2 linked regions of the Oryzias latipes genome follow. The protein of the gene in region 2 binds, or shares a complex with, the protein of the main gene of each other region. Links are inferred from orthologs where the notes say so. Each region holds a gene or a part of one and is shown on either strand. Other genes may lie near its edges.

The links. The genes of interacting proteins can lie anywhere in the genome.
Region 1: coq7 (region 2) and coq4 share a complex: the UniProt entries of both Homo sapiens proteins name them as parts of the multi-subunit COQ enzyme complex. The link is inferred for Oryzias latipes from reciprocal best matches to the Homo sapiens genes COQ7 and COQ4.

Annotation. Positions count from the first base shown.
Region 1 is NC_019870.2:12,291,745-12,295,176, forward strand, and holds the end of coq4 (ubiquinone biosynthesis protein COQ4 homolog, mitochondrial), read left to right. Parts: intron 1-525; coding exon 526-622; intron 623-723; coding exon 724-826; intron 827-922; coding exon 923-1,052; intron 1,053-1,297; coding exon 1,298-1,391; intron 1,392-2,466; coding exon 2,467-2,644; 3' UTR 2,645-2,931; downstream 2,932-3,432. UniProt on the Homo sapiens protein: Lyase that catalyzes the C1-decarboxylation of 4-hydroxy-3-methoxy-5-(all-trans-decaprenyl)benzoic acid into 2-methoxy-6-(all-trans-decaprenyl)phenol during ubiquinone biosynthesis.
Region 2 is NC_019859.2:30,577,086-30,580,841, reverse strand, and holds the start of coq7 (5-demethoxyubiquinone hydroxylase, mitochondrial), read left to right. Parts: upstream 1-925; 5' UTR 926-974; coding exon of another isoform or gene 975-998; 5' UTR 999-1,062; coding exon 1,063-1,144; intron 1,145-1,432; coding exon 1,433-1,611; intron 1,612-2,475; coding exon 2,476-2,590; intron 2,591-2,723; coding exon 2,724-2,863; intron 2,864-3,756. UniProt on the Homo sapiens protein: Catalyzes the hydroxylation of the 5-methoxy-2-methyl-3-(all-trans-polyprenyl)benzoquinone at the C6 position and participates in the biosynthesis of ubiquinone.

The DNA.
Region 1 (3,432 bases), on a different chromosome or scaffold from region 2:
TGCTAAGAATAAGGGGAAGTATTTTTTTCCCCCATCATTCATTTACCTGAAGTTTTGCCACTTATATCCTCTTCCCATGTACTAGCAAACAGACTGGAACATTCCTGTCATTTATTTCATTTCCCCAGAAATGTTCATGAAAACTATAAATGGCACATGAAGCCAGCTGCTGCATTTGAAACCACACTAACAGGAACACATGTTCACACCTGTCAGCTGGCATTCAGTCATGAGTTTAGACCTCACGTAATGCTCTACTCCTGACTGCAGTTATGTGCAGCACGCGACCTCTTCTGTTTTACTTCCCCCAAAATATTTCCTTTGGCGGTGATGCTTGGAAAAACCTAAAGGAATTGTTGAAATTCCTGGAAAGTATTTCAACTTTGCAGTGACAGCATAGAACACCATGATAAGTGGTACAAATGACTCAATCCTGTAGAAATCGGACATTTCAAGGCAGCAATTACATTTTTTTAAATTTATGTTGTATTATTTCGGTTTTCATGTGCCGCTCTGCAAACTCAGACATGGTTGCAGTCCTTGGAGAAACCACAGGTCACCTCGCTCTCGTCAGCCTCAGGGACAGAATGAGAAATGACCCTGAAGGCCTCACGATCCTAACGTAAGTCCCTCTTATCTCAGTCTTTCAAAGTTTAAAGATATCTTCCTGTTGAGTGAACAGGCATGGATTATGTCCTGATGTGATCTGAAATGATTCTCCAGAGAAAGACCACGGATTCGTCTCTCCACTCTAGACCTGAAAAACATGGCCTCCTTACCCGACGGGTCTTTCGGAAGAGAATATCTCCGTTTTCTGGAGGACAATGTGAGCGATGGCCTTGGCGTCAAACACTGTGTTGATGCTTCTCTTGTTACGTCTTGGCTTCATGTTTTGCTTTCATCTGTACCGTTTCCATCACAGAGCGTGACCCCAGACTCCAGAACACAGGTGAGGTTTGTGGACGATGAAGAGTTGGCCTACGTCATGCTAAGATACAGAGAGGTTCATGACTTGATGCACACGTTGCTGGGAATGCCCACGAATATGCTGGGTGAGTCTGCTCTGCAAAAAAACATGTCATGAGACGATGAAGATCTACAACACCTTTTTAGTTGCATTTCATTTTTAGAAAGCGGATAACTGATTATTAGTCAGCTAGATTCATGTGATTGAGCACAGATTTGCTCACTTCTGTTTTCCTCCATAAATTTCACATAAATTGATGCGCTTGGCAAAGCAGGACTTATTATATTTGTTGCTTACTGATTCCTCTTTCGTATGTTTCTTTCATTATAGGTGAGGTGGTAGTGAAATGGTTTGAAGCGGCACAGACGGGTCTTCCGATGTGTGCTTTGGGAGCTGTGTTGGGCCCACTTCGACTTAATGCAAGGTATCTATACAGCATTGGACCATGCCATCATATCCCATCCAACTGTATTGTAAGCACTTTAAAAACAACTTCATTGTGTCCAGACCGCCACAAAACGACATGAAAACCAGACCAAACCAAATCAAACATAGGACAAATAAAATGCAAGAATTTATGACAAAATGAGATCAAATTAATAAAATGCCCATTTAAAAGCTAAATAAAAGACTTGGGTTACAGGAGAAGACCTGAAAGCAGAAAGATAAGGTTTTTTCTGATCCAGAGTAACTTTTATTGTGGGAGTTAAACAGTCAGTCTGATAAGAGCAGCTGACCTCAGGGGGGGAGCAGGAACACTAAAAGAGTAGCAGCTCTGTGAGGTAAGTACGGTAGTTGCCTAACCATTTATTGATTTAAAAGTGAATAAAATAAGCCCATAACTACTGGGCAGCCAGTGGAATGACGCTAAAATAGAAAAAAACCTATTCTTGCTTTTGTGTGCTAGTTAAAAAACGTGCATGTACTTGCACTTTGTACCAAATGCAGTAAATATCTATGACCTCAGTTGGAAAGTCCAATGTTTGCACAACAAAATGCGTTTTGCCTTTTCATACAGACTAAGAGTCAGTTTGATCTGCATCGGTCATTTTAACACTTTAAGATTTAAGACATGTCGACACAGCAACAAATTCATTTATTTTTAATGCTAATAAAGGATTTCAAATCTTTTGATGTCAACATATCAAACGAAGTAATATAAATTTTTTAAATTGTTATTGAGGGCAGTTGTAAGTGACAGAGATGTCCCAGCATCCTTTGCATTGTCGAGAATAATGCAAACCTGATGAAAAAAAAATGTAATTGAATAAAGTTTTCTAATTTTTTGGCTACAGATCCTTCTTTTTCCAAATGTTCATCATAGTAAGAGGAAGTTAGTTTTATTTTACCTGTAAATCATTACGTTTTCCTCAGTTACAATAGGAGTGTCCCTGATAAACTGGTTATGTTGTGGAAACAAACTCACTGTTGGTTTTAACTGCCATGTCAGGACTAAGCTGTATTTCCTGCTTTTCATTTGTTTATTTTTTACTTTCCAGGCGTCTACAATCACTGTTCACCTCTTTGGGTCCTTGGGCTTTGCGGAACGGGAGGAGAGGCCGTTGTGTCCTCAGCATTTTCTACGAGAGACGATGGGATCAGAACCTTGAGGATCTCCGGCAGGAGCTCCACATTGAGCCTCCTCCTGCCACGCTCCACCCATCAAGGAAGACCTGAAATAACTTAGGGAAATGGGGGCTGACATTTAAAGATAGCATAGAGGAACGTTAGTGGCTACTGATCGGAAATAGTTTGAGTATGTTGCCGTGGGAGTTTTTTTTATAAGGATGTAATTAATTGGAGAGGAAGTACGGTAGGAAACTCTAGTCTTTGCTAATTCTGGCTTGTTCCAGCTCAAGCCCTAGTTTGTCCCCATAACCTTTGATCTGGTGAATCACCAACTGTGAATCATGTCAGTATAATGCATCATGTGGTTTAAATAAAATATGATAAATTATTTAAAAGGTGCCCTTCTTTTTCTCATTTGCAGGTGAAAACCACCTACAATCTTAATGTGATGCAATCTAAATGAACTAATTAAGTTGGAGTGAAACCAAATGAAACCCAAATGCAGTATACAAATGTGTAATTTGACTAGAATAGCACTGATAGTTGGGTAAATGTTTTTCTCTTCAAAAGAACAAGTCTAGGCTCAAACGTTTCCATATTTTTCTGGCTTCATATTTCATTGAGAAATGACAATATCTATTACATTCATGAAGGGTTTTGTACACTAAAGGTAACATTTTAAATATCTCAAAGCTTGACAAATGAACTACAGAATTAGAATTATCGATGTGTTGGGAACAGGTCTCGCTATGACAGTGTTCAAGTACCAAAATATTTGAACTCAGAAACTACAGATTTTAATAAGGATTAGTCTTTGAATTATGTTTTTATATAGCAATATTTCATTTGGCTTTGCTTTCACATTAGATGGACTTCCTGACACATCCATCCCTTTT
Region 2 (3,756 bases):
AAGTGGGATTTCTGCCAAACCAAATTCTTTTGCTGCTGGATGTTTTATTACTCATCCATCTTCTAAACCCTTTTGTCCTTTTCTGGCTTTTCTGCTGGAGCCTATCCTGGCAACTTGTGGGCGAAGGCAGGGAACATCCCTGACAAGTCGCCATTCTGTCGCAGGGTCACCCAAATCAAACACCCATGAACACTCACATTCCCACCTACATGCTTCATTAGTGAAAGTTTAATCACTAAACTTGTTAAAAAGTTTAAAATGTCTGCACTTCAAGAGACAAACTATCTTTATCCAGTCTACAACCATGGTAAGACTTCCCTCTTTACACCTCACACCTCCCTAGGAAGCCTAGGAGGAGGAAAAAGGTAAAGCAAAAAAAAAAAAAAAAAGAAGGATAAAGAAATCGAAGAATTAGATGAAATTAGGAAGTAAGGGTACGAAAAAAATAAATTAGCTAAGAGATTTATATTACATTAACATTTATTCTAAAAAAGGCTCCCTGCCTTCTCTGGATCATTCAATTTCTTCAACTTCATTTCAGGAAACACTGTCATTTCAGGAGACACTGTCCAACTGACCTGGTCATTCACTTTGCACTAACACAGGTAAGATGGATGTTTTTGCAAATCCTATGTGTACCTGTCTGTGTGCACAAGAAAATACCAGTTGGTGTGATTTGTGACTTAAGTCCTCTATAATTCCTGTTAATTTGTACTTAATACTTGTAAGTAGTTGTGTGGATACCGTGTGACGGTGCGTATGTGTCAAGGTAATTAACAAATGCGTTAATAATTATTGTAATAATCCATAATAAACCCATTGTGACCCGCATTCCACACCTGTAGGTGGCGGTAACGCGCCTTTACGCGGTATGCCTTCCGCCATCAAACTACAAAGGAAGAAGAACAAGGGGGGATGGCTCAGAGCGCGATGACGTCATAGACACCAGTCACGTGCCCGTCTTGCGACGCTCAATGTCATCCTACACGCTTAATTTCGTAAGTTTTTTCTTTTCTTTTCTTTAACTTATAGCGCAGGTAGTTGAAACATTTAAAAACTAGCATGCAGAAGATTACGCAGAGGACACTTTCAAACTGCTCCCGCCGGCTTCTCTGTCCCGCAACGTTTCAGCAGAAATGTGGAGGTAAGGGATTGATGCTTATGCTAACATGCTAAAAACATGTAACGTGCTAATGATGTAACTTTGACTTAAGTAACTTTGACTCACTTAATGATGTGTTCTGCATACATATAACGTCGGTGTTATGGTTGTCTATGCCACGTTTTACACAAACAGAACTGTTAGTTAATACGATTCTGGTTCCTTTGGTCCAGAGTCTCCCCACTGTTTGACGCCCATTGTTGCCCTAGTACTGCAGCTGTGAATTGTAACAGGTTATGACTTTTATTTTGTTATTATTTTTTTAATCAGCGTCCCTGCAGTTCGGCGCGCGCGCCTATAGCGTTGTTCCAACGCCTCGCGACAAGGAGGAGAAGGAAATGGTCCACCGCATCTTGCGCGTGGACCATGCTGGGGAATTTGGTGCGAACCGCATTTACGCGGGCCAGATGGCAGTGTTGGGCCGTTCAAAGATCGGACCTCTCATCCAGGTATCGAACACTCACGGCACGAGACACGTTTGAACGGGAGGGGGCGGGGACATCAAAGATGAACACGTGGTTTGTTTAATTAAATGTCAATCCACCTCAAATACGCAGTACAACCCCAGAGAAATTCCAAAAACAATTGATCTAAATCAGAAATAAATATATAAATTCTATTAAACTTAAAATGAACCTTTTAAAAAAGTTTACCCTGAATTATGTGAGACAAACACTTGAAGACTGCTGGGCAGAGGGATCTTGGCTGCAGAAGCCCTTGACTGAAGATTTCCCATTCTAACAGCAGACCTGCGTTACAGCAGAGCTGTGGAAACGCTCAGTGTTATCTAAGTTGTTCTCCATATCCCAAAATAATCTTCATCAGAAGTTCAGATATGGAAGTCATCAATACCTCAGATATGCAGTTGGAGAGCACGTCTATCCAACCAACCATTATCTTGAACCACTGTATCTCTTTTGGGGTCACTGTTGGGTGACCCACTGGACAGGTCGCCAGTCTGTTGCAGGGCCACACAATCACTTCCACACACACTCGCACATGTAGGGACAATGCAGGGTAACCACTCAACCTATGAAGCACGTTTTTGGACGTATAAAGTATAAACCTCAGAGCCTCAGAGATCGAGTTGTCTTAAATAACTGATATTTCATGATATTATCTATATTATCATATATGTGAATATAGTTTACTCTGAAAGGCTTAAGAAAAGCATGATATTGGCCCTTTTAAGTCTCTTCATAAAGCTGGGTTTGTTTTTCTGACATTTAAAAAATGTCAAAAGATTAAAAAAAAAAAACATCTGCTCACGCATTCTTTCAGCTGTATCCTTTTTGCTGTCTGTTTTTCTTTAGCAAATGTGGGATCAAGAAAAGAAGCACTTGGCAAAATTCAATGAAATTCTTTCAGAGAACAGAGTTCGTCCCACAGCACTGCTGCCTTTCTGGAACATTGCGGGGTTTGTATTAGGTCAGTAGAGTCCATAAGCATGCATGTTTCAGATGAAGAAATGACAGAATAATGCTCCGTTTTATAGAAATCCAGTTTACAACATTTACAACGATGCTTTGGACATGTATGTGACCCATGTTTAATCCTTAAGGGGCCTCTACTGCGCTGTTGGGAAAGGAAGGAGCTATGGCCTGCACTGTGGCCGTGGAGGAGAGTATTTCTGAACACTACAACAGCCAGATAAGAGTTCTCATGGAGAAGGACCCAGAGCGGTACACTGAGCTGCTGCAGGTGAGCGGTGAACTTCTGTAGCAGAAAAATAGACAGGCCTATTTTCAGCGATGTTAGCATCTAGCAGCCAAACGGGCTGTTCTGGAGTCCATGTAGTGATTATGTAGAAGAAACTGCCGGTAGCTATAAGCTATTCACTCGGAGTGGTACACACCCAAAAATAAGACAAAACTGTGCCTGTGTGACCAAGTTTCCATCCTTATTTAGAGCTGTGACGGTGTGGGATTTTTGATCACCGCGGTGATGAACCAGCAGGGGGCGCGGTGTCGCGGTCAAAACAGGACTAGCAGAAAAGTAAATTATCCGCAAAGATGCATGTGTTCAATGTGTTTATTAAAGTTCCAATCACGCACCATATGCAGAACTTAAAAAAAATAAAAATAAAAGTGCTATGATGAGGTCATCACCGCGGTGATGTGGTGATGTTATCGTCACACCCCCATCCTTATTGCATTTTAGTTTTCTGAAGTTAAATCAGAGTTCATCTTGGATCGAAAACAAACCATTTTATTTATAGGTTTCCATGTTTTGTCAGATGAACTGCAGTTTTTTCCCTCTCACTGCCCCATGCAGAGGAGCCAGTAGTAGGGGGTCCTGGACCTGGAACATTCGCTCTTTAAAACAAAACTGGGACACAAAGTTAGTACAAACAAGTGATGCTGATGTGACTTCCTTGGTTTATAGGGTGTAATGATTTATTTGAACAACAATCTGATTCATAAAATAATTTGTGGGCATTGAAATGATTCAAAATCAATATTGGTTCATTTTGTGTACAAGTAAACAAATCACATTTTAGTTTTCCTAAAGCTCAGACCCGCTGTTGTTTTTCCAAATCAAAATAATCCAAATTATGAGAACATTCTAGAACACTGTATGGTCACATGTCTTTG